2 linked regions of the Drosophila melanogaster genome follow. The protein of the gene in region 1 purifies or fractionates together with the protein of each later gene. This does not show direct contact. Each region holds a gene or a part of one and is shown in the gene's direction. Other genes may lie near its edges.

Region 1 (17,358 bases):
CCCAATGCGGTTGACAAACTTGAGTGGCATAAACACTGGCACGATGGCGCAAACTTCAAAAAGGTAAACTCAAAGGATTGGCTAGTATAAATAGGAAGGGAAATTGGCACGTGAAGCTAAACAGTGATGTTGGACAAAATATTATGGCCAGAAGTGAGCGGAAACGGAAATGGTTTAATATGTTCTTGAAATTATATTGTGCTATGTGGCTAAGAAAACATAAAATATGAAATAATAATGTTTATAATTACAAGACAGCAGAAATATAAGAAATAAATAAGATATTTATATATTTCATTTATTTCGAGTTACTAATTCCACGCGGAATGTTGTTAGTTTTGCCATACGAAAATGGAAAATTCCTTTACCAAATTACCAAATTCGGCTAATTGCATTTTCGGCTACCGCCTCCTGTTGTGACCAACGATTGCCACACTTTGGCACTTCAGTTGGCCATAAACACCTTGGCCGCTGTGGAAACCTGTGTGTGTGTGTGTGTGTGAATTCAAGATGGGGCGCCTTGCGCAAGATGGCCAAGAATCGCCCGCCTTCCAATCTCATCAGCGATGCCATTGCCAAACTATGCAAACTATGGACAGAGGCAGTAAAAGTTCAGAGACGCCTCCAACCCAACCCATCTCACATTTGGCGCTTTTGCGCCATTCAACTGTCGAAGCTGGCGCAATAAAATCGAACAATTTATAGACTGGCGATCCATTTGGTGCGCAATAATTGCGCCAAATGTACAAAAATTAAGACAAAGAGAGAGAGAGAGCGAGAGAGAGAGAGAGAGAGAGAAAGAATTACTGTGGAAAAGACCCACTTCGGTTGCCCGAAAAACCGATCGCATCCGATTCTACACTTGGACTGCTCTTGTTTGGCTTTTAGTTTAATGGCCGGTACTTAAAAACGCGTTGACTCACAGAACAGGAAGCTGAAATTGAATTGAATTTGAAATTGAGCATCTGATCGCAGCATCGATTTACTCGCTTTTCATCGAACCATCGATTCCGCAACGTTGGCAGTAATTAATCTTCCCGCTTAAGCACCCATTGCCAAAATGGCTGATCTACAGTCTTCGGACATCAGCTCGATTCTTCGGAGTTCCCCCAATCCCTCCAATCGATGATCTCGAACTGGGATTTTGTATCTTGTATCTGCGATCTGTGGCATCTGTTTCATTTCATTTGACGCCCATTGTCGTCAATGGTCCTCCGCTCTTCTGCAGTCTTCTCCGCTCTTCTCCGCCCACCAATTCTTCCGTGTCGTTTGCTTTGTTCTTCCAGGGCTTTTGTAGACGCGAATCGTTTTTTTTTACGAATCTCAGTCTTTGGCCTTCGAGGGCAGCGCACCTGTGGGGTTAAAAATATACGAATACACGGATGCGCGGGAAAATAAAGTTCACTTGCTCAACATTGAAATGTCATGGGGGGAATTGTGTTTTCCACCGCTTGACAGTCGAATGCCGAAACTATTTGCTTAAATGTTTTTCACGTGCCGAAGGTAAAATCAGCCTAATGATTTCTTGTGATCGGTATAGTGCAGTTGAAGGATTTTTTTTCACTTTCTCTACCCTTTGATGGATTTAACCATGCAGCAATGAATCAAAGTCAATTTTCTTGACAAGCCATCAGCAGCGGATCATTAGTAAACAGTTGAACAAGTTCAAAACCCCCAACTAAGATCATGTTCAAGTGGTTTTAGCGTTGGAAAATTCCCTTTTCTTTTCATTTTAATCAACGGCGACATCCTGACGCAGCAGTCGCCTAATTATCCGCACCATAAATCGTAGCAATTGAGGCGCTGACGACAAATATTTTGACGTGGCGCCGCCACGACGATTTCCCCGATTTTCCCCGCATTTCCAACTCCCTTTGCCCAAAAAAAAAAAGAAAAAAAATCCAGAGGTTCGTGGCAAATGTGTGGTCGGCACTTGAGTTCGATTTTGGAAGCGGTAGCCACGGGATACTGAAAACTCTCGGCTTGTAAATGCAACCGAAACCCAAAACAAAAAAAATGCAAGCCAAGCAATTGAGAGCCAAATCAGTCATGTTTCACATTACTAATCGATTTTTCCATACAATTCAGCAAAAAATTATGGCTTAAATATAGTTTTGACCAGTCAATTTTGGCAGGAGAGAAGAAAGTTTTTCAATGGAAAATCAGATATCCCTTGATTTCTGTGTTAAGCAGTAGCTTTGAAAACTCAGTTCAGCACACAGTTTGGACACTTATATTACCAAAATTTCTGTTAAAATTATTTGATAAAAAATTATTCAGTTCAATCATGTTCAAAGTGCGCAGCTTGGCGCTCATGAAATTGAGTGAAGGCGTTTTCGGCGCACGACTAATGGCCAAATCGCCGAAGGATTCGGGCAAGGATTCTTGCAAGGGTGCCGATTCCAAAAAGAAGAAAGACAAAAAGAAGAAGGATATGTGTGGCAGAAGTGGGTACGATATCACTAGAAAAGAATCCTGTTAATCTTTGAGTTTTATTTTTTTTTGCAAAGCTGTTGTTCCCACTTCACCACGTTGCAAAAACAAACCCGGCGGCTCAGACAAATCCAAAGATGAGTGCAAGAAAAAGTAGCAGAGTTCGAATAAATCATTTCAGCCCCTTAAACAAAATCACAGCAGGCCTTTAAACAAACTTCAAGCTGCTTTGGCCTAAGTCAAAATTAAAGTTACAAAAGAAAAAAAAACCATGTCCCGACTTTTGCTGCAGTGCCGCAGAACTTTGCTGATCCTTCGCCATCAAACGGCGGTGGAAAATGAGAAAGGACTCTTTGGCAAACTGCTGGGAAAGTGCCAGTCCTTTGGCAAGGATGAAAAGGATCTTGGCCAGCAGGAGGAGGAGGAATCAAAGAGATCTTAGTTAGGAAATTCAAATGGTTAGCTCTGTGTATACATTCAATTTTCGAAAATATAGATTTTCTTTCCAAACCCTTACAGTCTGCAGCTAAAGAAGCTACCCCGTTCCCATTGAAGATCATATAATGGGCAGCAAATTACCATATTGTTGCCGGAGATCCCAGATGAATCGGGTCCATTTTACGGGCAGCTCATAAAACGGATCGTGCACAGACATTATAAAGCCATAAAGCATCAACTAAAATCGGTCAAAAATAGCTTTGGAGGGGCACAGGCGATGGCCAGACTTAGACAAGTGATACAACATCCATTTCCCTGGTCGGTTTACGATGTCTGAAAATGCCAGGCATCGAAATTCGACGGCGAAGGGCAGAATGACCAGCAGCGAGATGTATCTAAATTTGAAGCGAACCAAATTGTTAGATAAAAGCAATTGTTTCTCACTGAATCATGGGAACTATCTTAAATTTGTTTGGGGGGAAAAACTGCACAATCTCAGCTGGCAGGTACTTAAAAGGTGCCACGTAGCAGTTGCAACCATAGTTGCAATCCACGAACTGCGATTTTCCAATCTCGCAGATACTCAGATGCATGACAAAGATGAGCCGCAATCCAGAAGCCCAACATCCGTGAGTGGGTGGATGTGGATATGGTTGGGATATGGCCCGATTTCTTGGTGCTTCTTTCCATTTTTATGGCAATTCAATTGCACCGCCAGTGACTTTTGTTTCCTGCCGCGAAGCGTTTCTTCCCCCCTCCCCTTTCTCCGCACTGCAGGTTGCAACCGTATGGCCATGTAAGATCTATATTTTCGGGTTTTCCTTTGCGGAATGTAAACAAAAGTGAGATATATATATATACCGACATAGTCACACTTGTCGGTTCAATAGTTGAAATACTATTTTCCCCAGCTCCATTCATTTATTTTTATATTTTTTGTTGCTTTGGGCTGCTTTTGAATTGATCGAATGAATCGGTGTAATATATGTTTTTTTTTTGGGCTAGTTATTAAAGTTATCGCAGTGTAAACAAATGCGATGCGGCTTATTTTAGTCGAAGAGATTATTCGCTCGGATTTTACGATTCTGCGGCCTCATTTCGCTGGCAAATCTTCGGAATTTATTGAATAATTGGGGTTACTCGCGGTCTGAGGTATCTTTCATGTTAGCTGTGCTAAGTAAATACATAGATGTTTTAAACATAAATCACTTTTATTAGTTAATTCTTTACAAGACAATCGATGGATCGGAACTTTTGGCGGAAAGAAACCGGACGAAAGATTTCCATGCTGATTAATATACATATATATTAGGCATTTTCCACAGCAACAAAACATGTTTCACTATATATTTAATTACCAATATATACATATATCCTCAATCAATGCAATGTAACTACCAATTTTGAACCCATTCCCCAACTCCATTCCACTTTTCCTGTCGATTAATTTTCCCCACTTGTCGGTTTTCCGACGTCGTTTTTGAAAAAGTGCCGAAAATCAATTGGATAATCCGACGATCGACGCCCAAAGGAATCCATCAGTGCTCTTTAAACTGCAGACTGCAACTTCACTTGGCGGCAGACTGCAGATTGAAGGGGCTGATTTTTGGTGGAAAATGAGCGCTTTTCCCGCCTGTCTGTTCCACCTTTCAACGGCCGGCGAGAGATTTCGTCCGAAACTACATTTTCCAGCCTGCCGAATTATCGGGGAAATTAATCTTTTCAATCTTGAGTTTGCCCAGGGCCACAACACAGCACACATGTGCCAAACTCAGCGCGCAGACACTGAGAGAAATAGGAACTACTTGCGTTAGGATCCTCAAAATGTTAAACTACATAAAATATATATAAAACTATTAATATTGGTTATTAAAGATTTAAGGATTTTCCAATTCGTGTAAATTATTTATTCATGGTTTTAAATCTATCTATTGTTATAAATTACTTGGAAATATTTGCATTTCTGAATCTACCAGCCACATACCAAATTTCATATCAATCACAACCGAATTCTCGCCAGAAATCAACTTGCTTGTATTGTACTATTTTCTCGCAGTGCATGGTATGTGTGGCCCGGCTAACGGTATATCTATTTCAAGGCCCATCCTTGTAATTGCTCCTCCATATCCATCTCTCTCTCTCTCTAGCCGCTGTTTTCCTGGCAGCTTGTTGTTTTTGGTTCTCCTTCCTTATTCATCTTCGTTTTCCCGATGGCGATTGAAGTTTTGGATGAAATGATGCCGACATTCGTCAAATTTGTTGGCATCAGCAAACAGTTTGGGATTCCGATTCCGATTCCGAATCCGACTGCAACAACAACAACAAGAGCAGCAATGTGGCAGCGTGCGCCGCATTTGCAGGCAGTAAGTGCGACAGAGATGGAATGAGAGCGACCACCCACAGTGCAGCATCACTGTATTTCTCTCTCGCTCGCACGCGCAGCGAAAACCGCATAAATCCATATTTCTCTAGCTTGTGCTTTTTACGATAAATTACAGAGGTTGCAGGGTGTTCGGTAGCGCACAAATGATCATTCATTCACAAGACAGCAGATACCCCCGCATGCCCCCTAATTCCTCACCGTCCCTCTCCCCGCCACTCCTACGCCCCTCTGCAAATGCCGCACTTTTCGTGTAAACATGTGTAAATCATGACCCGTTGATGGCCTTTATATTCATGGTAGAGCAAGAGGAGGGGTGGTGGATGTAGGGGGGTGGGGGTGTTTCTTGAGGAGGGGAGGGGGATGGTGGCCACATGTGACGTCCTCCGGCGGCGGCAAAACTTTTGCACTGCGACCCCATCCTCATCCTCATTCTCATTCTCATCTTTATCCGCATCCTCGTCTTCCTGCCTTCGCATCGCTTTGTTTAGATAAATTAGCTGCGGAAAGACCAGCCCCCCCCCCCCCCCCCCGTCACGTTCCATACCACAAAATTCACAAAATAGTTTCTTTTAATATCATCGATTTGGAAAAAAACAGAGGAGCTTCTATAAGTGGAATTATGCTAATGAAATTTTGAAATATTAATATTATTGCATTAATAAAGTTATTATTAATTATATGATCATTGCATATGCATGATTCTCTAAAAATAAGTTTAAAAAAAATGAAATTAAATATTACTAAAAATATAAGCTCAATAAAATATAAGCTCAGTTTAAATAAAAAGATTAACAGTGCAAACGAAAGTAATTTCTTTAGTTCTCATATGTTTTGTTATTTAAGAATTGACGTATTTATGTTATTTTTTAAAAAGTTCTGTTCTTCGAATTGACTTTAAATGATTCTAAATATTGTCAGTTTGTTAGAAAGGAGCTCCACTGTACCTGCGTCGCATGCAACTGCAGACATTTGGGATTCAAATCGAGAATGGAATGGAATTGTCCCAAAATAAAGGCAAATATTATTTATGCCAGGGCCCTGAGAACTTTTTCTCCAACGGCCTGCGTGCACATTGCATTGGTGTTGATGAGGGGGGAGTGGCGGGGCATGCATTTCAGAACAACATCATATTTTCGGCTATGTTTATTTACACTTAAAGCGCTATAACAACAAACTGAAATGCAAAGGGCAAGTTGGGCATAATGCATGTATGGCTCACGACTGAACAGCGGAAACAGGATCATATGAGTGGCATTCAAGCATAAAGTTTACAAAGTTGCGATAATTAAAATGCGTGTATATCAATTAAATTAATTTGAAATTTACCGCCCAAAAGTGACGTCACAGTTGCCTACAAGAAGATGCTAGCCAAGTCACACACCCCGCGAGTACTGCCAGACTGCAGCTAGCAGAGTACCACACCCGGCAGCGTTGCCACACAAACGATCGTGTGCAATGCACTAACGCCAGTGAGCAAGCGATCTGTGAACTTCGGCAAACAGTCACACCAATCCGACGCGAAGTGAATCATATTGCGCACAGCAAAATCAGCGGATAAGCAAATTAAAGCGACAAAAGAATATTAAATCGGCTCTGCCGCTGCAGCAAGAAGCGTGAAAACAGCAATGCAATCGGGCTAATCTCCAAAAAAAACCCAAAAACGTTTCAAGCCAGTGTGTGTGCGTGTGTTTGTGTGTGTGTGCTTGCGTGCGCTGCGCATGTGTGGTGTGTTTGTGTGAAAAGGAAGAGAGGTGGAAACGCACACAAAAAACGAAAAGAAAAAAAGTGTACAGCCGACGACGCGCAGACGCATCTCGAAATTGTTGGAAAAATCGCGTGTGAGAAGAGTGCGCGAAGTGAGAAAGGAGCAACAAATCGCTAAAGACATATTTCGAAGATGGGTTGTGCCGTGAGTACAGCACGCGATAAGGAGGCCATCGAGCGGTCGAAGAACATCGATCGCGCCCTGCGGGCGGAGGGCGAGCGGGCCGCCTCGGAGGTGAAACTGCTGCTGCTGGGTGCGTTCGCCTTCCATTTCACCTTTTCACCTCTCTAGCATTATTCCGGTATTTCCCCCCTTTGCGAATTCTTTGCTGAAATTCGCGTTGTGACCTCATTTTTTTTTCCATTCGCTCGCTTTGCTTGGGCGGGGTGGGTATCCGCTGGGTGCCGTTGCTTTGCGCTTTCGGCTGTGGTGAGTTGGGGCAAGGATTTTTGCCGGCTTTTCCAGTGCGAAAGGGTCTGGAAAAGGCTGGAAGGCATGGGATGAAACAATACAGTAGAGTTACAGTATAACGAATTAGTAAGACTAAAATTAGAAAAATGTAATTTATTTGTTTTTAAGATCACTCGTTATTATAAGACCATGTTATTCTAGCTAACAGTTTAACATAAAAGTCTAAAGTCCCCAACTATCCCATATTTCGACTATAAATATGCATGGAATGGAGTAAGTAGACTCCATGCAGCTCTGTTTATCTGGGAAAACCAATGTTTATGTGGCTGCTTGGGGCTAAACAAATCCGTCTGTTCGTAGATCGTGCATTATGCAATGTCTGTGTCCAATAATTCGTTGGCGATAAGGGAATTGAACGTAAATTGAAACCAAATGTCGGTTTGACTGTGCGGATACACTCGATTCTAGATTCTCGGTACTCAGTGCTCGTTTCTCATCTGCTGGCACGCACTTTTCAGATCTTTTGGATCGATGCAACAAGTGGATCGAATCGGATCCCATTGCCGCAATGGAAACATGTTTGTTGATAGCGCAGCGGTTTCCACTTTGCAGGAAAAACCATTCAAGCGACGAGGCGCCATCGTATCGCATATACAAACATACATGCATACATACATACATACATATATGATGTATGTATGGTTTTTGGTGACCCGACCTCTGCGGCAAATGCAGTGAAACTGAATGCCTCGCTGCGTTGCAACCTTCTGCAATTAAATTTCCACTCGCCGATTTATATGCACGGCATATGGGAACGATGATATATTTCACCGTCTGCGTGTGTACTTTTCATTTCATTGCCATTCATTTGCGAAAAACAATGCCGTGGAAGTTTTCCTCCAGCGCGGCTGATTGGCCAATGAATCGGGCCAAGATGACTAAGGCAACGAGTGGTAGGCTGGAAAGTACAGCAAAGACTGGCTATGCAACCTACACCTTTATTAAGTGAACTGATATATAGGGTTTACTGTACTAAATTAATTCATAATGTCAAATGTTATCATTTCAAAAGGATTTTTCTAAAAAAAAAAATGATGCACATTAGTAAATGATTTTTTTGGAACCTAGAACATAGTGTAGTTTTCATTTACACTGTAAAACATTTATCGAGCTTATCAGCAGCCACCGCACCTTGCACTATATTTGTTTGTGAGTAACCACTGTATTTGCAGGCTTAAAGATAATAAGGAAAACTGTTTGCCTCAATGAAAAACCTCGTAAACCGGTTTGGAAAATGCCCGCTAAAAGGTGCAGGAAAATTCTACCATTTTCATCCCCATTAAAAGATATCCCCTATTATCATTCAGTATCCCAGCTGTTTTCGTCCAAACCCCCGGTTGACCAGTGTAAATGCTTCTGGTTTACATAGCCAAGAAAACAGCTTGCACCAGTTGCATTTTGAAATTTAGCCCAACATTTTACACTTGATTCAATTGTTTGCACCTTGTGGGGCGTGTGTTCTGTAATTTCTGGATCATGATGAAAACCGATCTCTGATCTCCGATCTCCGAGCTGCTGCAGCTTTCCTCCGACTTCCAGCTGAGTAATTGGCTGTTTTTGTTGCTGCTTCGTTGTTTGTTCGCTGACATTTCAAGTGGGGTGAACGATATTAGCGCAAATAAATGGGCCCGCCATCAAATGCAACTGTCGCGGCTACACGGAAAGAAAAAGAAGAATGTACTAGTTTGCTAAAAAAAATATCTTTAAAAAATATAGTTTTCAAATTATGCAGTAAAGACATTGCTTATAATTTAGTATAAATATATATATTATTCATTGAATTTATTGGTAATTTCTACCAGTGTACAGCGACTACTTACTTGAATTGGAATCGGAATTGGCAGCCCCCAACGCTGCGCTTATTGAGTAGATTTAATAAAGCTGCTCAGCTGACACTCAATTTATATTACACTCTGCTGCCTCTCCCCTTTTCCTTACCCCCCCCCCTTTCCGCAAGCCTTTCAATTGAAAAGCACAACTTTTTCAACCGTTTTTCAACCAAACATATTGTGCTTAAGGGCAAAGATAGTGAATTACTGCATTATTTTGATGATATTTGCAAGGAAAGAGCAGCAAACCGAAGAGAGAAAACGAATTCCAATGGGGGGGGCATGAGTAAGAACTCGGATATCTGTAAAAAAAAAAAAAAAAAAAAAAATATGAAAAAAATGGGAAGAAAATAATATATAAACAAAATAGTGTCATGCTGCTGGCGCACCAATATCAAAATCGGCACTCAGACTGTCAACACACAGCAACTTAATAATCTACAATTATTTAAGAACTCGCTTACCAACACATTTAAACTGAAAGTATCATTGGGCTTATCAAAATTATCGCCAAGCGAGCGACCTTATACATATGTACGTCAATATACTATATGTGGTTAAATAATTGATGTACATATGTATGTACATCACATATAGGAAATTTCATGATAATCGAGAGATCTGCGTGAAAGTCACTACTAGGTGGGGGGCTTCCGTTTTGGGGCCGCATTTCATCTGATTTAATTGTTTACTTTTTCGGTGGGTCCGCTCAATTTCACACTCCCCGCTGATTAACACATTTCCCACTTCGATAACTGAGGCCAGGCGCCATTTAACTTGATTACTCATGGCGCAAACACTTTCTTACGATTCTCCTCCTCTTGCTGTCTACAGCTATTGTTCTTTCTTCTCCCCTCTTTTTTAAATCATCGCATGGCGTAGCCTTAGTCACCCTGTTTCCAATGAATATTCTAATTTCGATAAGTAATTATCTAACGAATTGGTTGGTGCAGTAAAAACTGCATGTCTTCCTTAAATTTCCTATCTAGCTAAATAGTGATTTTTTAATCATTTATGACAAATTGAACAAATATTTGAATGTTGTTTACAATTTCAAATTCTAATAAATATAATAAAAAGTTTTTTTAGCAACTTCTAACAACTATAAAATATATCAATAGAAGCTAGAATTCCTGCATTCCCCGCCGATTCTTTTTTCGCCGATATTCACTGTTTAATGATGTTAATTATAATACCGTTTGGTTGTGGCCATCGCGATGATAATGAGCTTGTAAACGCGGCTTTGTGCGTATCGCCGTTGTTCTGAGCCCGTCTCGCTCCAGCCCTATTGTTGGCCTCTCGCTCGCACCCGCAGTCGGCCGGGCGCGTGTTATGGCACAGCTAACGGTGCATTGATAAATGAAGGCCCAGCCACACCAACACACACGCACACACTCTTTCGCATTTTGTTAGTAGTGTTATTATTAAATTGACCTTTTTCCAGCCGCTCATTTGTGGATTGCTTTGTTCGCTACTTTTTTCCACACGGTGGCAAGTTTGAACATCGCCTTATGTCCATATTCGTATTCAAATCTGTCAATTTCATCATTATGCGGCGACCGTTGTTTGCCCATTATCAGCATTCAGCAGGCGTCTCTTTCGCTCCAACACTTTTTGGTGGCAAAATTAGTTAGCATTGTTCGGAATTGGTTAAAATTGAAGTCTTAACAATAACTCAAAAAAATTTATAAAACAAATTTAATGTAATATATATTGACAGTGAATGTAACAGTGGCCATTTAGTGTAATATATATTAACAGTAGGTGTAACAGTGGCCAGCACATTACAATTAGAGTGGACCCTATTCTAACACATTATGGTACCTAAAACTATAGGCTGAATTTCTTAATCTTCATAAATGTACGTAACATATGTATTAAACTTACCAATCTTCATTGAATGAGCACCATCCGCCCCAAGGGAACTTCAACCATGGCTGATTGATATACGTACGAATAGTAAAAACAATTAAAGTTTCAGTGCAAGTATCGAAGCCCTGAAAGTTGAGAAAAGTGAAAGTAAAGTCGCAGTTTTGGCTTTGGCAATTACCTAATCATCCGGTGGCTGGGAATGGACCCAACTACCAACTGCAGCAAAAAGTCGGCTTAATGCGCCATTGTTGCAATGCCCCAACATCGTGTATATATGTTTATATATAGCTATAGATATTCGAAATTACTTGGACCGGCAGATTTGCCAATTTTTGTATTTGCCCATTTGCTCTGCGATTTCAACTTCTTTAGTTTTCAGCGAAAAGGGAAACTGGCGAGCACGTAATGCGATTATGTTTCATATTTTTTTTTTTATCATTCGACGCAGCAGATAATATACATAGTACTACATATATAATAAACTGCCCAGACGAGCCCGTGTGTTTGTTGTTTATCAACGCTGACGGGTCAGGTCTCATTTAACAATTGAAGGCACTCGGCGAATAAAATTATGCCCAGTTAATTTTCTCCGCAATTTCCAACGCCTTTGATAACTAATGGGTGGGTGGTTCAACGAACTCCAGGGCTCGGCCATGCAAGTTAATAAATTATAATAAATTACAGAGTAGTACGCTTAGAAAATGCATATATCTATTTGGATTATCTTTAGCATGATGATGTGCATATAACTTGATCTGTTATCACAATATTATTGACCCTTATTTGGTGTTCATTTGATTCGTATTGAAATCCGACATGCTATATTAAATGACCATATACACGATGTTCATTCATTTCTCAACTAGACCAGCGCAATTAAGCGTGACCTCTTGAGTCGCGCAATTGAGCAACTTTTCTCGATCGTCTCATTCATAAATTCCACTTCCGTTCCCCTTGGCAAACTTAAAAGCCCCTTCCCGAAACCGAACTCATCGATTCATTCATTCAGTTTTACGCCCTGAACTTGGTGCATACAAATATTGAGCTCACACTTCCTTGGAATGATTCTTTATAAACTTTGATAGTACACCTTAACTAATAAACTCTGTTGAATTTCTTTTGTAGGAGCCGGAGAGTCGGGCAAGTCAACGATTGTGAAACAGATGAAGATCATCCATGACACGGGCTACTCGCAGGAGGAATGCGAGGAGTATCGTCGCGTCGTCTTCAGCAACACGGTGCAGAGTCTAATGGTGATCATCCGCGCAATGGGACGCCTGAAGATCGAGTTTGCCGATCCGAGCCGAACGGACATTGCCCGCCAGTTCTTCACACACGCCTCTGCCGCCGACGAGGGCATCCTGCTGCCCGAGATCGTGCTCCTGATGAAGAAACTCTGGGCAGACGGTGGCGTACAGCAGAGCTTCGCCCGATCGCGCGAATATCAGTTGAATGACTCGGCGGGATACTATCTAAATTCGCTGGATAGGATCGCGCAACCGAACTACATACCCACGCAGCAGGATGTGCTACGCACGCGGGTGAAGACCACTGGCATCATCGAGACACACTTCTCCTGCAAGCAGCTGCACTTCAAGTGAGTTGTCATTAATTGCCCACTTCCGGTTGATTCGATTCTAATGGTTATGTTTTTTTTTCGCCACAGACTTTTCGATGTGGGTGGCCAGCGATCGGAGCGCAAAAAGTGGATTCATTGCTTCGAGGGCGTTACGGCCATAATCTTCTGCGTCGCGCTATCAGGTAAGTCAAATATTCTACGAATCTTAGGAATCTAATGCAATTGTTATATATTTCGCTAGGTTACGATCTAGTATTGGCCGAGGACGAAGAGATGAATCGTATGATTGAGTCCCTGAAGCTGTTCGATTCCATCTGCAACTCCAAGTGGTTTGTGGAAACATCCATAATACTGTTCCTCAACAAGAAGGATCTGTTTGAGGAGAAGATCAAGAGATCTCCGCTGACGATATGCTTCCCAGAGTACACAGGTAAGATAAGAGTGTAGAAAACGATTACATTTTTGTTTAACTTGATATACTTTTAGGAACCAACACCTTCGAGGAGGCGGCCAACTACATTCGCATGAAGTTCGAAAACCTGAACAAGCGAAAAGACCAAAAGGAGATATACACGCATCTCACCTGCGCCACGGATACGAACAACGTGAAGTTCGTCTTCGATGCCGTCACCGATGTGATCATCAAGAACAATCTGAAACAAATTGGCTTATTCTGAGAGGGCGGCGGAGCACAAGATCATCATTATTTAGCTGGCGTCGTAGTATTAAAGGAAAACGCGCATAAACATTTCCATTAAACGCTAAGAACTCGATACATTTACGCTCGTACGATCCATATATGTTTTAAATGCGTTACATGCTTGACACACGTAATTTTAATAACCGATTTGGTTGCCAGTAGTCGCGGAACAAATAACCTAACCAGCTGCAATTTAGTTAACCGTGTCCATTAAATTGCACCCATAAGCTAACTAATTTAAACATTAGCCTAACCACACAAATGTAAAGTTCGACAAAGGACAGCCGGTGGGTTTTGTACATCCTAAAACCTCAACCCGATCGGCTCCCTTTGGAATTTAGTTAAGTTTCGCGGGCTAATGGCGGTGACCAAGGGGAGCACCACATCCAGAAATCCCCAGAGGTGTCTCCTTGGGCGCAAGCCATTTTCCGGACGTTTATTCTTTGCCAAGAGCTTGACAGCGTTATTTAAGGTGAACCTAAGGCCTGGAGTTGTAAGCCCTAAAATGTAACTAGTAAACTTACTAATATGTTTAGTAATAGCCTAAATAAAAGACAATTTATACAAAATAACCATTCGTACTTGAATGCTGCCAATGCTGCTTATTATTTCATGTGCGCTTACAGAGCTGACAACTTAGTAAAATAAATATTAGGATCCTTAAATTATGTTGATCATTGCTCAGTTAGTTTAGTGTATATTCCAATTTAGAGCTATAGCTTGTGCCTATTTTCATAAATATATTAGAAACAGTAATTTTGTTTTAGGTTTAGCTTTTTTGAACTTAGCGTTCTTTCCCAAAAAAAATGGGATTTTCTTCGGAAAGAGTTGCAACTCTGGCTGATGATTGTCAAGTTGGCCTTGCCGCATTCTGCTTTTTGTCAGGCATTTTGGATTAATTCGTTTGTTGAAATTGTCAATTGCTTCAGTGAAGAATTTTTAATCTGCTTAAACTTGGAAAATGATTCGCGCCATGGTAATGACCAAATGGAGTAAGTCGGTGGCGGGACCACTGGTCACAGCGTGGAGTAAGTGAAGCAGGCACGTGTTTTTTTCTTAGCAAACTTTAACGCCTTTTCCCACCATAAAGACTACTCCACATTGAATCGCCTCAATGGCAATACTGTGCGCCCGCGTGCTCTGTTCCTGAATCTCGACCGCAAGTTCTCCGCCGAAGGTGGCGGCGATGAGAAGCCCAAGAACGTGCCGCCTGGATTTGCGGCTCCAGGGTTTCCATCCACCTTGGGCAATAACCCAGAGAACACCACGCGTAAGGATGTGCCCATTGGCGAGGTGCAGGCGCCAACTATTTCCGTAGTGAACGCAGGCGGTAAACTGGGCAGAGCTGAGCCACTGGAGGCCAGCACCATCGTGCGCAGCAAGGGCACTTCGAACGAGGACAAGATGACCGAGGCGCAGAAGAAGGCATCGGAGGCCAAGGAGGCGGCCGCCAAGCAGTTGCAGGATGTCATGGCCAACTTGCCTAGCAAGGAGCAGACCGAAAAGTATTTCTTTCGCGTGGTTGCCTTCTTCTATGACTTGACCTACCTAACCGCCACCTGGTTGCTCAACTTTGTCGAGCACAATATCGTTCAAAATGCCAAGGTGCAGCACTACTGGAAGCGATTCCACGAAAAAATGGAGCAGGCCAAGAAGGATTAACTCCCAGCGGAGCCGAAAAATATATTATAAAACTCATGCGAAAGCAAAAAATAAAACAACTCGCTGACGAGTACAAAATTACACTTGACTTGGCCACTTTTCCATCAGATTAACGCCGAGGTGTAGCCATCCAGTAGTTTGGCCAAGAATTTGAGTATCTTGTTGCGAGCGGCCACCAGTTGTGGCGGATCGGTTTTCACCGGCTCATACATATTGGCGCAGTGAGCGGTTCCTAAAAAAAAAAACACAATAAATGCTTACATTACCCAAGTTATATGTGAAAAATGTGTTGGTAAGCACATACCTTCTATGTAAATGGTAGGAAGTGCTGCGTTCGTGGACTTGACCAAGCCCAAAGCATGCCAGGGATCAATGGAACCGTGCACGTACAACACATTTGTGGTCTTTGGCTTTAGGGCGCCATAGTTATCATTTGTGGCGGACACCACCAGTTTGAGGAACTTGGCGTTCATATTCTTGGAGAACACATCCATGCACTGGCGTATAAAGAAGTCGACACCGAAGCGATCACCAAATGTGTCAGCCGGGTTATCCGAGGTCTGATAGAAGCCGAATTCGTGGCAGGTCTGATATGTCCACTGGCGCATTCCCTTGGCCGTCTCCGAGTCCCAGGAAACGTTCTTCATGTCCGCCACCATCTTGTCGTACTTGTAGTCCAGGCAGGTGGTGTTCGATTCCTTCAATAGCATATCGTTGACCAGGCCCAAACGGGTCACAGGTGGACCAGCCGTGGTGTTTAGCATGACATCGCAGATCTATGGAGTTCAAACATTCTTAGTATGGACTTGATAGGGATCAAAGTGAGGATGAAACACACGTCGTCAATGGTGATGGTGGCATGGGGACTGTTGTCCTTGTTGTATTGCACCACTCCAGCAAAGTTGCCAGCCAGATTCTCAAAGAAATTGGCCATGTCCAGGTCGTTTTCAATGGAGTCCTTGATGGGAGTGCATGTTCTGAGTATAAAATGGTTTACAAAATTAAAATTTGTGCAGGACGATAGCCTAATCCACTCACTTGAACTTCTCGTCCAGGCTGCGTTGTCCAATCATGTGCTTGAGTAGAATCTCCACTTGCGCAAAGCTGCGGGTCACGGCGTCCACGCATTCGGGCTTGTAGGCAGCTAGAGAGGCTTTGACCACCTCGAAATACTCCTTGAAGTCAACCTCAGCCAGCAGAGGACCACTGGAGCTAATTGAACCGTAGATGAGCTCGGGATACTTCTCGCGTGCCCAGGCGGCCAGCGATCCCGGATAGGAGCCACCGAAAGCGATCCATTTCTGGCCATCGCCCAGATTGAACTTAACCTTCATGGCGGTTACAAAGCTGGCCAAGTCCTCCAGAGCCTGCTCCGAGCTGAGATAGTGCAGATTTTCGGTGGACAGATCAGCGGTGGGATGGCTCTTGCCATAGAAACGATGCTCCAACTGCAGACACAGCGCTCCAAAGTGCTCGGCATAGTGCACCCAGGCTCCTTCGCGCATCCACTTGGCCGACGCCTCGCCCTCGCCACCGATCATCAGGAATACGGGTGCGGAGCTGTCATTCCGATAGAAGTCGGCATTCACAAAGTATCGCTGCTGCCAGGTGCGCTTATCGCTCGACTTGAAGTGATCCAATCGCTGCTCGAACCACAGATCCTCCGAGTGCAGGCTCCTTTGCAGGGTTGGAATCTTGCTGGGCTCCCCGAGGAATCCCTTGGTCAGCCTTCCGCGTCGAAATCCCATTCCGGAAATGGGCGCAAGCAGTCCCAGGAGCAGAAGACCCACTCCCAAGGGCCTCAAAACGCCCCCAATGAAAAGCATATTTGCTTCCTTTGTTTGTTCGGGTCAAGTAGAATTTGCCAGTAATTGAAGTATTTAATTAGTTGGAACCTCGCACAGTGCCTAACTGTAAATAGCGACTGAAGGAGAGTGGTGTGTTCTATTTATATAGGCACCGTTATGTGTGTCGCACTCTCCTGATTATTCAGTTCTCGCTGTATTATCTATATTCGCAAAGCCGGCAAAGCAAAACTAAAACAGTAGGGGCATTCATAGTTATTGATTTCAATCATTAATTGAATTAATTTAATTTTAAGCAGAGAAAGATTTCTGTATGCTGTAAGTGTTCTGGTAACTTTACAAAACTTAATTTAGCTTTTTATTTATTTATATTATTTCCTAGCTAGATATTATCGATGAGCTTAATAGCACCGTAAATGTG
Region 2 (14,694 bases), on another chromosome or scaffold:
AAACGCAACTATATGTGCATGCTGTCAAAACTGGCAAATCCCCGCCAGCGTACGAAACGCAGCAGTGTGACAAATTGTTTCGCTCCATCTGCACGTACGATGGCCAGCGCTTTAGTAGCTCCTTCTGGGAGAAGAACAAGAAGCAGGCAGAGCAGGGCGCCGCTCTGGTGGCCCTGCTCCATCTTGGCCAGCTGGAGGCGGAGGTTCTGCGCGACAATGGCAGCCTGCTCAACTGAGCAGCAAAGTTCCTCCTGTTTTATGTAAATGTCATCCATTTTGGCTATGTTTTGGACACCATTATTTAGTTGTTTTTTTTTTTTTTGATTATTGCAATGGCTGTTGCAACTGCCTTAGGTGCTGGGAGCAGTATCTGGACTACCTCCATTGGGTTAACAAAGTTTGCATCTGAATAAACAAAACTGCAAGTGTGCAGTGCTTTAAATATATGTATGTATTTAGATAAATAAATTATATGAGCTGTTTTAAGTTTATAAGGAGTACAGCTGGTTGGAGTGCTCCTAGTACTAAGTAATTCGTAGTTCAGCTAATCCAAGAAAACCCAAGTTCACACAGTTTTTCGGTACATAACTCACGATTAATTTTATTCTTTCTTTTTTTATTACGCTCTGATTAATTTCCTAATGTCGGGTTCACGCAGGGACGACGCTGGTGTTGGCCATGACCATGGGGATAAAAGTGGTTATGGTTGTGGTTTTGGTTATGGGAATTGATCGGCGGCGGCATCATGACATGATCATTCCGATAGCCAGAGCTTGCGATAAAGTTTAGTAGGTACTCCTTGGTGACTGGATGCTTTATGCTGTCCACAACGGCTGAAATTAAGATGAGTTGAGAATGAGTATAGGGATCCTCCTACTGCTGGTGAAGATTACTACTCACAGCGGGCTGTATTATAACTGTTGGGATTCTTTTTGTCCGTTCGCTCGCGCATAAAGTCCCAGTTGCCAAACTGATTCATGGTGCACTCAACGATTCTGTTGTCCAATTCTCTGGTCTCCTTCGTTAACCTTTGCATCCGTCCATAGGGTGCATCGTGTCCGCCGACATAGAGGAAGCCCACCTTTTTCGTCAGCAAGCTGCCAGAGGCGGAGAATGGCATGGTATGAATTGAGCCCGTTGAACGGATAGATCACTACAACTCACCCCTCGCCGCGCTCTGTTATGATCTTCAGCCGAAAGTCCACCGAGTTGAGCTCATGTGGCTTCCATTTGAAGACATCGGAGCATGTGCCAGCCGTGTAGGGCTGCTTTGATGGCTGGAAGATGAGGCCATCCGGTTCGTGTGCCAGTGTCCGCGAGAATTTCTCACCCAGCAGCCGGGCAGACATCCAAATGTCCCAGAAGTCCTTGCCGCGCACACTGAACGCCTGCAGCCGCTGATTGATGATGCCATGCTTCATGCCCAGGATTCGGGGACCTGCAGCGATATATGGATGTGTCCTTCATAAACGAACATCGAATAATTACTCACCTATAACTTCCGTCTTAATGTAGTCCAGTCGATTTGGATAGAATGGCTCGTCCCGCACATCGCGATTCGATAATCGCACAATGTCGTAGATGAGGTAGCGCGGCGTTACGGTCTCGCCGATCTTGTCCAGCACCATCTCCTAAACGGACAAATAGAACGATAATTTAGTTGCAATCAGGAGTGCCAGCTAGAATCACATACCCCGTCGACGAGAGTGCCGTCGAGATGCTCGTTTAGGTTCCTGCTCTCCACAAATGTCACATTCTCCACCTGGAAACAGGAGTGATTGCGATCGAAGAAATATACCTCGTCCCTTCCATCGATGAGCATCATATAACGTGTACCGTCCGCCTTCCACGACACACGATACGGTATCTCGCTTAGCCGCTTTATGTTCTCCCTGTCCATGGAGACGGGCTGTGCGCCAGGGAAGCCGTTCTTCTTCCAGTCGCACCAGTCCTGCACCTTACGCTGCAGATCGCCCAGTCGCGGCTGATCGCTCACCTGTCGCACGCCCGGCACTCCCGCCATAAAGGTGGCATTCTTGATGATCATTTCGCGCCGTCGCTTCTTACGCGGCTGACCGTCCGACGTGGAGGCGTCACAGTCGCCGCCCGCATCCTCTCCCTCCACCTCCTCGGCGTCGTCATCCTGCTCGCCGGCCTGCTGTGACGTGGATGAGGAGTTGTCCTGCACAAAACCATCGCCGTTGCCATCATCATAGTCCAGGCACCAATTGGGCTGTTCTGGTGCCGCTGGAGCGGCATTCGTGTCCTCGTAGCGTTTGTACAGCTCGTTGATGTAATCCTGCTTGTAGATGCCCGGCGGCCGGGCGCTGGCAAAGATAGCGAGCGCTGCCGAAACGGAGCAATCGAGTCGCTCGACCAAATAGCAGACAATCAGGAAGCCAGTGCGATTGAAACCGTGCGTGCAGTGCACGGCTATAACGTCAAATGGACGTTCGTTAATAAAGTTGTCCACGATCTCGATGAAACTGTGCGTCTGCTCCGGCGATGGCGTCTCGCCATGTCCACGGCACTGCAGCTTAATATATTTCGCGCCGAGCTCCTCCACTGCGGATCGATCGTAGAATCGTTTCGTATTGGTCAGGTCAACCCAGAGGCCCAGTTTCACCTGAAACCATAAGATGGATTGGATAAGTGAGTTGGAAATTGGGGGATGTTGCGTTTGCATTCACCTTTAGCGTTTTGCAGTATTCGAAGAGCATCTCGGGTTGAAAGGTGCACTCGATGGGCATCTTGTCGTGAAAGTTATTGCTCAGCGGGGTCTTAAAGGCCAGGAAGCGTTCCGCAATGATGGTATCGCTCTTGCGCGGACAGTATAGCCAGCGATTGGGCAATGGACCAGAGCCCCGTTCCCGATCCCGATTAGTTAGGGCCATAGTGCCACAGTGGCTCCGCCTCTCCTGCTCCTCCTCCTCCTCCTGCTGCTGCTGCTGCTGCTGCTGCTGCTACTGCTGACGACGATGGAAACGGCGGGCGCAGCGATGGGACGACGCCGTTGCGTTTGTGTTAGGTGGTTTATTGCTGGTGCAGATTGTGGTGGATGCAGATGCAGCGAGAACTCGCGGGCCTGGGAATTCTGTGTAGGATTTGTCTAGAGATGTGGAATATATATGTAAAAATATCGATATCTTATTTGTTTCCCTTTTTATAAAAATAAATGATATATATATATATAAGATATCGCGTTTTTTGCTAAATATATTTTTCATATTTCTTATTGGTCACACTAATATGCAAGTGAATTCAAATAAGAAAGACGTTAATAATAAAACGGAAATAAAATGAGCACAGCCAGAAGTTATTATTCTGGAATAATCGACAACAGCGCGACCTGCAATGTTTGTAGCAAATCTAGTTAAATCTTTATATCTTTTATCATTTTAATGATTTTATTAAAAATGATATATCATCGAACTGTCCAGCCAAATTATCGATGCGTCCGTTACATCGATAGCATCGATTGTTTGAAAATATTGTTGGGGGAATTCGTCAAAAAGTTGTTCTCACGGGGAAATTACGAGAAAGTATTTACAAAAGTATTTAATAATATATATAATAAATTTTAGTGTAATTAAAATTAATTAAATAAAAAAATTAAAATTTTTTTAAATATACAGAACAGAATTAAAAAAACATGTTTTTCCCCTACCTTCTGCCGCTCATTTGTATCGATAATCGTTTTTCAAAATAGCTGCGAATCTTTTGCATAAAAATAAACAATTTAATTGCTGCATATTTCGGTCGATGTGTGCATACACACATACGCACATACCTATATATATATATATACGCATCAGTTTCGATATGAACTTGGGGCACACACAGCCAGCCGTACAATTATTTACTGCAATGTAAATAAACAACAAATAACAACAAATCGCCCGCAGAAATCGAACGAAGTCGCGAAAAAAAAGAGGAACGAGGAGGTTTGGGCTCGTAACCACACAATTTCGCCTCTCACTCGATTTTTGATCGCCGCCCGGACGCGATCTTCACTTCATACAAATTGTGAAATTTTTGCGAAAATTTGAATACACTCCGTTCCGAAACTCGATTGTTTTTTTGCGGTCCGTTCAAACCGAACTAGTACGTAAGCCACTTATTCCGTCGCAGAGCCACGCCCATGTCCGCGACCGCCTCAAATCGCCAGCCGGTGCCAAAATTTCCGGCCGCCATGCCGCGTGGAACGGGCACAGTGTGCTCCAATCCGGCGGTGCCCAAGTCGCCGGATGCCCTCACCTCCCTGGTGGCCCGGAAGAGCATTACGTCCATGTCGGAGGAGGAGATCATTCAGGAGAATCTCAACGAGATCCTCGACCTCAAGTCGCGCGTAAGTTTGAATTTGAGGCGGTGCTTTTGAAAAGTATCTTAAGAAGCGAAATGAAGATACAATATCTTAAATATGCCAAATTCGCAAGTTTAGAAACCTGAACTTAATAATTAACTTTTCAGTACTCAATTAAAAATCGAATGACTGTGATCTTTTTCATTCATCTACATATATTACTGAATCGCTTAAAACTAAACAAAACTTGAACAATAACCATATGGACATTCCATGAGTGCTCTCGTTTTTTTTTTTTTTTTTCACCGTGTTGTGATTCATTGGAAACACCTTGATTTACGTGCACGTCATTTACGAATGGATCACTGTGACTTTCAGATTTTCCTCAGCTTTTCCGAGATTTGCAGACGTCTCTCAAAGTTTGTACGACGCCATCGTTTGTGGCGCCATCATTATCGATGGGAATCACTGGAATAGAATGTGTGTCCGATCATAAAATCCGAAATGTTCGTTTAGTTTTCGCCTTAGATCTTTTTGCACATACAGTGGATGTTAAGAATGCATTTGCCATTTAATAGTTAACTGGAAAATGTACAGCAAGTGCAGAAAATGACACTGGAAGAAGCGTGTTTCCAAATTAATTGATTTGAGTTTGACATGCATACGCATTATTTTTTGAAAATTTCCAAACCTATTTAATACAAATTGTATAAAATCAGGCACGCATTTTGCGATCAACAAATAACGAAGCGAAATCAACAAAAGTCCCAGATATACACAAAAAAAAAAAAAATGCCCAAGCGTTTTTGTGTAAATCACGCCATTTTATGAAGTGTAAGATAATCAAATCGGTATTGAGTTTCCCTTTCGGAAACTTTTGTGCAATTAAAAACAAATTAATTGGCATCCAAGTTGATTTAAGCATTTTTGAAATCTTATTTTCAAAATCCAAGGCACTTAACTTTTTGTTATTTGCAAGAAACTATCACTTTTTTCTTTTTGTCCAGCATAGAAATGCACGTAGATTTCTTTGCTTTTACCTATTTGCACTTTTTTTTGCCGTGTATAAGCCTCTATATGCACGGAACGTGAAAATTGTAAACAATTGTTTTTATGGCATCACTCACAAAAACAAAAAGAGAGCCAACCCTGAAAAGCCCTGAAAAATTCTCAATCCAATTTTGCAACTTTGCAAATTGATTGGAATTGGTGACCCCGTTTCTCATATTCCCATATATCCATGTTGTCCTTTTGCAGGAGGAGCGAAAAGCCAATGGACGTCTGGTGGCTGTGATCGTCTGTTTTCTGGGTAAGTTTTTGGGATTTTTGTAATACTACAGTCAGGCCTGCCTAACACAAACCAGCCAAGTGAAAAATATTCACATACATAGGTATAAATTCATAAGTATCTCTTTAATAATGCTTACATGAAAAGATCTTTTAGATTTTTGAGAAAACCATTATTAAAATCATTTTCGAATTCTTAACTGGTAAACAAAACTAAAAACTAAACTAAATTAGAGCACGCAAATCGAATTGCCACCGACTTTCGCATGCTCATTTTGAATTGGTCGTTGTTAGCGAAGCACGACTGTAGCCACGAACTCAACTCAAATCCATTTCCACAGTGCTCTTCCTGGCCGTCTACCATGCCTGCGTCCGGAAGTCGGAGAACTCGCTGGCTGGCGTCCTGGTACCGGCGGGCATCATGCTCTCTTACGGCGCCTGGGTGGTCGTCCTGGCCAAGAGGGACAAGCACAGGCGTGCCATGTTTGTAGGACACACCAAATACGAGGAAAGCCAATGAATGATGCTCAGCGATGCTCTTTCATTTTCCAGGAGCGGCACATCGAGGAGGTGACGCTAAAGAACAAAATCGAGCTGGAGGAGAAGCATGCGCGCCACGCGAAGAAGGCGCAATCGCATCATGGTCACTCCGGCACCGATTCCACGGGCAGTGCCTCCAGTTCGCTGCACTACGTCAACGAGCTGCTGCCCAACGGTGGCGGTGAGCACCGCAAGAAGCAGCGACGCCATCGTCACAAGGAGCGCTCCGTGGAGCGAGATGATCATCATCAACGTAGCCATCAGCGCTCGCATACGCCGGACATTGGCGTGCATCGTGGAGCGCCCAAGAGGCCCAGTTTCCGGCAGAAGCTCTTCGGTCAGACCATCGCCCATGTCAAACTGGTGGAGGCGCAGAGCGATAGCACGGATTCAGCTGGCGCATCTGGTCCGGGTACGAGATCAGGTCGCAGTACGGTCGCCAGTCCAGGTGGCCAGGCCAGTGCTGCGGCCAAGCTCAATCCCGGCGAGAAACGACAGCGACTACAGCGCCTGGACACGTTGCCACTGGCGCAGGTGGTGCGTGTCAGCTCGATTCCGTGAGATATAACCATCTGGATGGATGTACATATGCATGTGGAAGTGGAGTAGTTCTTTCTTTTTTTTTTTTTTTTGGGGGGGGGGGGGCGGAGGCCCGACCTCGCCATTGTGTCGACTAAATAAATGTATTATAAAAAATATAAACAGGAAATTCGCCTTTATAAATAGACGGCAATCAAAAGGAAGGAAATGTTCCGATCTTCGTAACGAAATCAATGCTAAATACGTGAGAATTGTATTGTGCACATAGTTCAGCCCATCTGGCTTTTGAATATTTTCAAAATCGTGTGTTTACAACTTGATTTAAGTGAGTTGTAAAACTAATAGTTATGGAATAGTTTAGTTCGAGATTTTTTGGCGAGGTGTTTTCAAGTTGAAATTCAAGTATTGTAATTATTGATTTTCGATCAAGCTGATGGCTTTCTTTTTGTAACGCTTAATTTAGACAATAGTTTTTGAACCGCTTGTCGTTTTCGCACCACCATATTGTTTATTCTGCCTACTTCCTTACGTTAAAATGTTTGGTTTTTTCTCTGATTTTTTTTTTTTGCTTTACATGTACATCAGCGGTGCATTTCCATTGTTTGTCCGAATTAATGGTGGCGTTATTTTTAACGATCAGCACTATAACTAGATTTTCGGCTACCCTGTGCTCGTGTGCGTGCCCAGAAACGAGGATGGGTGGGTGGCAATTCCGGGCACATTGTTTTCGGTCATTGATTATTGTTATTACAATTTAATAGTTTACATGTGGTGGGCCACACTCGGTCGCTATTGGCCATCGGATTTTGGAATTCCCCGCCAAAATAGAAGCCACTTGGTTGCTTGTTTACTTGGCAGGAAATTCGCATTGTAGACCAGTGCCGCCATCTATGTGTGAGATTGGGGTAAACACAAAAGGCGGTTTCAATTATGGAATTTGCTTAGTTTTTCAGCATAGCGGGATTCAACTAGTTTTTCCATACTTGGAAAATTACATTAGATAATATATATTAATTACATATTAATATATTAATTGATAATTTCAATTGAAAATATCACTATATACTTTGGATACTTTGGTATTAAAGCAACAGGTTATTGCAGTTGGAGCCGTTCCACTAAGGCAGGAAAGCAGTTCGTAACAAAGTAGATTGAATTATTTATCAAATTTCATGTGAAACATTTGTTTCTTGAATTATGCAATATGCCATGGTGGAAACACAAGCCACTTCTTTCGCACAGATATCGATAGCAGAAACGCATCTAGTGGACGCGGCCTGGCTTGCAGCTGGAAAGTATCGATCGCCCGATAACAATACCCGAGCGCACCTCGCATGGCGTCGCGCTGCGGCATTTGAATTAAACGACGCGCCGCCGAAACGAGAAGTTGTTGCATTTTTTCGTATCTAGTTACCTATGTTTTCGTTTGTGGAACTGTCAAAATTGTTTGTTGCCCTGCGGACTTCAGTTTAGTCATTAAATTTTCATTGCTCGTTCGGAGCAGTTGTGCTTCTGGTTGGAAAATACAAAAAAAAAAACAAATATTCGGTTTTCGTGAGCATTTGTGCTAAATATATTTTTTGTTTAATTGCGTTTTCGATCGAAACCCGTTTGTTTCGCGTACATTGTTTTGTGTGCTGTGCCGTGTTCTGGAAAACATCCGTTACTGGATGCCAACAATGATAGTGTGATTAGTCTACGCAGACATTGAGCATACATATACGGGCGCACACACACCCATAAAAACGCACAAAAATTCGCAATGGACACGCGCAGCTGGCGCAAGGTCCTACTCCAGTGGGTATGTAAATCTCGCATTGCGCATCACGCACTGGGAATCATTTAGATTAACCCAATTCTGCGGCAGATTGGCGAGTGCCACTTCATCGAATCGAACTACATTACCTTGGAGCAGTCGGATCTGGACTCCTTCTTTTCGGTCTTCATTCAAAAGATCCAGGAGACGGAAAATGTTAAGGGGAAGAATGAGCTGCAGGATCAGCCCACAGAACAAAGCCCCCTTGTGCAGGAATTCCTAGCACGTAAGTTTTTTTTTACCTATTTTCCTAGTTTCTCATAGGGTATAGGGAAACATTAATAAATAGTGAAGCCTTAGTATGAGAATTTAGCGCACTTCCAACTTCATGAACCCACTAACTTGTAAATTTTCCCATGCAGATAACTATCCCGAGTTCATTGCACAACAGGATGACAAGGAAGTCGATCTGCCTTTGGATTGCCTTTACGTTTACACGCTCCTGTTGCATTACTCGTGCGTTAAGAAGCCCAGCTTGTTCTTTCACAACATCTGCAATAAACTGCCGGAGCTGACACAGACATGCATCGCATCCTTCTTTCGAGAGACCGTGGACAGGCTGTTGACGCGCGAATATCTTAGCCAGGCGATCGCCAACGTTGCAGTTGTTTACCGACAAGGGGTTTCGACCTCAGTCAGCCCATGTCTTCCCAGCAGCAGCCTGAGTCCCGATCCGAGGAGCGATGATGCACCATGCCCATCCACGCCCTCATCGTCATCGTCACAGCCGTCGAGCAGCACGCCACAGTTGCGCAATCATCGCGAACAACTTCGCCTGAATGGCTGCGAAATGCCACCTCCTTCGACCCCGAAAACGGAGCTACTGGAGCAACGCACCAAGGAGCTGCGCGGTATTCGTACCCAGCTGGAGGTGGTGCGCTACGAAAAGGCCTTGCTGGAGGAGCAGCAAATGGAGAAGGACGAGCTCATTAAAGTTCTCAACAAAGGTTAGAATGCTTCGAATGCATTACTTTCATAATTTTTTTACAAGTAATTTCATAATCGTTTGCATTTCAGAGAAAATGATGGCCAAGATGGAACTAGAAAAACTAAGAAACGTGAAGCTAACCGAAGAGCACCACGATAACGAGAGCCACCACATTATGCCATATGAGTTTGAGCATGTAGGTAGACTAGCGCAGATGGTCACAGGTAGCGAGCGGGAGCTATAAACTAATAAAACTTTTAATCCTCATTTCAGATGAAGGGATGCCTTTTAAAGGAAATCGGTCTAAAGGAGAGTCTCATCGCTGAGATTACCGATAAGCTGCATGATTTGCGTGTCGAAAATTCCGAGCTGTCCGAGAAGGTAAGCTACCTGTTCAATTTTATAGGGACTATACTATAAAGAAAATTCCACCGGGTCTTGTGCGAATGTTAGCGAAAAACTAGCAACTGTATAGATTATATTCGTTTACATTCAATTCATAATGAAATCTAATATATGTTATATCTTGCATTCATTAAATAGCTGAATCTGGCAGGAAAACGATTGCTGGAGTATACGGACCGCATTCGATTCCTTGAAAGTCGTGTAGACGACTTGACTCGTATCGTATCGTCCAGGGACGTTATGATCTCCTCTCTGGAGTCCGATAAACAGGAATTGGATAAGTGCCTTAAAGAAGCCCGCGACGACTTGCACAACCGAATCGAGGTCTTAAACGCATCCTCGGATTTACTCGACTGTTCGCTGTCGCCGAACACCACGCCCGAGAATTTGGCCAGTTCCGTGATTGACAAACAGTTGCGCGAGAAGGAGCATGAGAATGCCGAGCTAAAGGAGAAGCTGCTGAATCTGAACAATTCCCAGCGGGAGCTATGTCAGGCCCTTTCAAGTTTCCTTCAGAAGCACAATATCGATCACGAGTTTCCGGTAGAATGGACATCGTCGTCCCTGTTGTCCACCATTTCTGCGATCGAAAGTAAATTTGTTAACACGTTGGAGAAGAGTACGCAAATGAAGAAGGAATGCGACGTTCAGTCTGTGTGCGTCGAAAAACTACTGGAGAAATGCAAGCTGTTATCTGTATCGCTGGGATGCCAGCCAAAAGAGCTAGATGGATTCGAGGCCACAATACCGGAGGCAATGGAGTCGGGTTTCGAATCGAGCCGTGAGTGTGAAACCATTTTGAGTTGTTGTCATATGAAGGTAGTCGATATAGCATCGAAAAACAACGACCTGGAGTTAGACAACGAAAGGCTTAATGATAAATGCGCTGAGCTTAAATCAATAATTGATCGCGGGGATCAACATTTGGCCGATATCAATCTGCAGCTAATCGAGAAGGAAAAGCAGATAAAAGATGTGGGCGCTGAAATTCAGGAGCTGCGCAAAAGGAATATAAACCTTGAAAATATGCTCAGCCAAATTGCAGATAAAGAGGCCAGTGCGGCAAGCCATGCACAGCATTTGAAGCAGTGCGGTGAGCTTTTAAGAGCCAAGTATGAAGTGTGTCGAAATGAACTAATTGCTAAGAACGCGGCCCAAGATGAGTTGGTCCGGATGATGATGGTGCCAGATGGGGAGACCTTAAATGGGCGCGTACGCCAACTGATCGATCTGGAGATGATGCATGATGAACATAACAAGATGTATGCACAGATGCTGAAGCAATTAAATGAACTCAGCGCTAAACATGACAACATGACGCATTCCCATCTAGACTTTGTAAAGAGAACGGAGATCGAATTGGAAACGAAGAATGCACAGATCATGGCATTCGATGAGCATAACAATCATTTTGATCGTTTTCTGACCCGCATCTTTACACTCTTAAGAAGTAGAAATTGTCCGAAATCCACGACCATGGGCTCAGCGACCAACTTTCTGGAATCGATGCATATTGAAAAGCGGTTTGAGAATATTGAAATGTTAATTGAGGGGCAATTGCTTTCGGCTGATGATCTCAAGCGGGAGTTGGATGATCTTCGGTCGAAAAATGAGGAGCTCGCTAAGCAGAACATCAATGGAATAATAAAACGCAATAAATTCATCACTTCTCTAGAGGTCAACACCGAAAAAGTGAAGCAATACATAACAGATCTAGAGGAAGAAGCTTTCAAGAGAAAGCAAAAGGTAGTCCAGCTGGAAAATACTCTAAGCAAGGAGCAAAGCAATGCGAAAGAAATGGCACAGAGGTTAGACATAGCACAGCAGGAAATAAAGGACTACCATGTGGAAGCCATTAGGTTTATCAATACCATTAGGGATCGCCTTCAGCAAGATTTCAATGGCGTAAACACCCCACAGCAGCTGGGCACTTGTATGACCGAATTTTTAAAAATGTATGACCAGATGGAGGTGCGATACGAGGAGTCCTCGTCGTTGGTAGAAAAGCTCACGGAATCTCAAGCAAAATTGGAGATGCAAGTGGCTGAGCTACAGGTAGAGCTAGAAAATAAGGATACCAACCAGCATTCGGGTGCCTTGATAAAACAGCTAAACGACACCATCCAAAACCTAGAGAAGGTCAACGCAAAGTTAAGCGAGGACAACACTGTATCGCATACCGTGCATTCAAAGTTGAATGAGAGTTTGTTAAAAGCGCAAAAAGAGTTAGACCTTCGTGCGAAAATAATCGAAAATCTGGAGGCTTCGGAAAGGAACCTCTCCATGAAGTTGTGCGAGCTGAAAGATCTGAAAAACAAACTGAAGTCATCTGATGAAAAAATTGCCCAGATAAAGGAAACGTATGAAGAACAGATTAAAGCTCTTCAAGCTAAATGTGACATGGAGGCTAAGAAAAACGAGCACTTGGAGAGAAATCAAAATCAAAGCTTAACACAGCTCAAAGAGGACGCACTTGAAAATTGTGTACTTATGTCGACAAAACTAGAGGAACTGCAGGCAAAGCTGCAGGAAGGACAGCAGCTTGTAGATAGCCAGAAGCTGGAGCTGGACATGAACCGGAAAGAACTGGCTCTGGTTAAGTCTGCCTATGAGGCACAGACCAAGCTATCAGATGATTTGCAGCGTCAAAAGGAATCCGGCCAGCAGCTTGTAGATAACCTGAAAGTGGAGCTGGAGAAGGAGCGGAAAGAACTGGCTCATGTTAACTCTGCCATTGGGGCACAGACCAAGCTATCAGATGATTTGGAGTGTCAAAAGGAATCCGGCCAGCAGCTTGTAGATAACCTGAAAGTGGAGCTGGAGAAGGAACGGAAAGAACTGGCTCAGGTTAAGTCTGTCATTGAGGCACAGACCAAACTATCAGATGATTTGCAGCGTGAAAAGGAATCTGCCCAGCAGCTTGTAGATAACCTGAAAGTGGAGTTGGACAAGGAGCGGAAAGAACTGGCTCAGGTTAATTCGGCCTTTGAGGCACAGACCAAACTATCAGATGATTTGCAGCGTCAAAAGGAATCTGCCCAGCAGCTTGTAGATAACCTGAAAGTGGAGTTGGACAAGGAGCGGAAAGAACTGGCTCAGGTTAATTCGGCCTTTGAGGCACAGACCAAACTATCAGATGATTTGCAGCGTGAAAAGGAATCTGCCCAGCAGCTTGTAGATAACCTGAAAGTGGAGTTGGACAAGGAGCGGAAAGAACTGGCTCAGGTTAAGTCTGTCATTGAGGCACAGACCAAACTATCAGATGATTTGCAGCGTCAAAAGGAATCTGCCCAGCAGCTTGTAGATAACCTGAAAGTGGAGCTGGACAAGGAGCGGAAAGAACTGGCTAAGGTTAAGTCTGTCATTGAGGCACAGACCAAACTATCAGATGATTTGCAGCGTCAAAAGGAATCTGCCCAGCAGCTTGAGGCACAGACCAAACTATCAGATGATTTGCAGCGTCAAAAGGAATCTGCCCAGCAGCTTGTAGATAACCTGAAAGTGGAGTTGGACAAGGAGCGGAAAGAACTGGCTCAGGTTAAGTCTGTCATTGAGGCACAGACCAAACTATCAGATGATTTGCAGCGTCAAAAGGAATCTGCCCAGCAGCTTGTAGATAATCTGAAAATGGAGCTGGACAAGGAGCGGAAAGAACTGGCTCAGGTTAAGTCTGCCATTGGGGCACAGACCAAGCTATCAGATGATTTGGAGTGTCAAAAGGAATCCGTCCAGCAGCTTGTAGATAACCTGAAAGTGGAGCTGGAGAAGGAACGGAAAGAACTGGCTAAGGTTAATTCGGCCTTCGAGGCACAGACCAAACTATCAGATGACTTGAAGCTTCAAAAGGAAGATGCACAGCGAGAGGTTTTCCTGGTCAAGGAGCGATTGGTGAAGGAAAAGCGTGAGTTCGAGGTGAAATTGGCCACCCTTGAAGACATAATCGAAACATTGGAGATGCGCTGTACTCAGATGGAAGAGGAGCGTGCGACTGCTTACGAACAGATCAATAAGTTGGAGAACCGTTGCCAAGAAAAAGACAACGTCAAGTCAAGTCAATTGCAAGTGGAAACTTTTAAGGTCGAGTGCTTGCATCATCAGCTAAAATCCGAGATGGCTACCCACAACTCGTTGGTAGAAGATCTTAACCGAAAGCTGGCAGAGAAAGTCAGTAAGTTGGATTTCGTTCAGAGTCGCCTAATGACTGAAATCGCCGAGCATAACCAGGTCAAGGACCAACTAGCCCAGATCACCGATATACCTAAGGTAGTCGAACTGCAGCATCGCTTGGAAGCGGAGACTGCCGAGCGTGAAGAGGCCCAGAATAAACTGGCTGTGGTCACCGGACGTTTAGACGAAATTACCCGGGAGTTGGACAACGCTCGGCTCGAGCATGGCGCCCAGATACTAAGGATGGAGGAGACGGCTCGTGAAGTTGGGAATAAAAATGCCGAGTTGTGTGAACTCATCGAATTCTATAGGAATCGCGTGGAAGCTCTTGAACGGCTGCTTCTCGCTTCCAACCAAGAGTTGGAAGAACTAAATTCCATCCAGTCTAACCAGGCGGAGGGCGTAAGAGATCTTGGCGACACATATAGCGCGGCTGAAGGACGCCAAACGGAGTCGGATCAGGATAAGGAGAGATACCAAAAGCTAGCGCTAGACTGCAAGATATTGCAGGCCAAGTATCGCGATGCCAAGGATGAGATTAAGCGCTGCGAGAAGAAGATAAAGGACCAGCGTCTTGAGATGGAGGGAAAGCTGGAGAAGATGAAAAACAAGATGGTAAGTCGCTGCGAACTACTAGAACGAGATTCCAAAAACGGAAAACTACTGGTTTCCATTAAATGGCATGGTCGCGAGTTGTCACTGTTATCC

What was found.
Region 2: the proteins of Galphai (region 1) and mud purify together in Drosophila melanogaster (affinity purification with western blotting, with the first as the bait; one study listed by BioGRID). This does not show direct contact.

The regions. Positions count from the first base shown.
Region 1 is NT_037436.4:6,969,432-6,986,789, reverse strand, and holds Galphai (G protein alpha subunit i), read left to right. Parts: upstream 1-6,745; 5' UTR 6,746-7,151; coding exon 7,152-7,272; intron 7,273-7,567; exon of another isoform or gene 7,568-9,143; intron 9,144-9,310; exon of another isoform or gene 9,311-9,621; intron 9,622-9,783; exon of another isoform or gene 9,784-10,468; intron 10,469-12,316; coding exon 12,317-12,788; intron 12,789-12,857; coding exon 12,858-12,952; intron 12,953-13,011; coding exon 13,012-13,200; intron 13,201-13,256; coding exon 13,257-13,447; 3' UTR 13,448-14,040; downstream 14,041-17,358. Other genes in the region: CG32388 (uncharacterized protein), read left to right, coding at 2,288-2,447, 2,511-2,590; CG43439 (uncharacterized protein), read left to right, coding at 2,705-2,875; CG10063 (uncharacterized protein), read left to right, coding at 14,432-14,498, 14,561-15,132; CG9953 (uncharacterized protein), read right to left, coding at 15,237-15,364, 15,437-15,908, 15,971-16,109, 16,171-16,958. UniProt on the Drosophila melanogaster protein: Guanine nucleotide-binding proteins (G proteins) are involved as modulators or transducers in various transmembrane signaling systems.
Region 2 is NC_004354.4:14,239,688-14,254,381, forward strand, and holds the start of mud (mushroom body defect), read left to right. Parts: upstream 1-8,044; 5' UTR 8,045-8,432; coding exon 8,433-8,471; exon of another isoform or gene 8,472-8,537; coding exon 8,538-8,712; exon of another isoform or gene 8,713-8,848; coding exon 8,849-9,433; exon of another isoform or gene 9,434-9,503; coding exon 9,504-9,610; exon of another isoform or gene 9,611-9,687; coding exon 9,688-9,795; exon of another isoform or gene 9,796-9,957; coding exon 9,958-14,601; exon of another isoform or gene 14,602-14,694. Other genes in the region: Dus2 (dihydrouridine synthase 2), read left to right, coding at 1-236; mRNA-cap (mRNA-capping-enzyme), read right to left, coding at 631-833, 901-1,097, 1,165-1,438, 1,493-1,631, 1,694-2,626, 2,691-2,894; CG32599 (uncharacterized protein), read left to right, coding at 4,142-4,348, 5,561-5,612, 5,932-6,077, 6,143-6,691.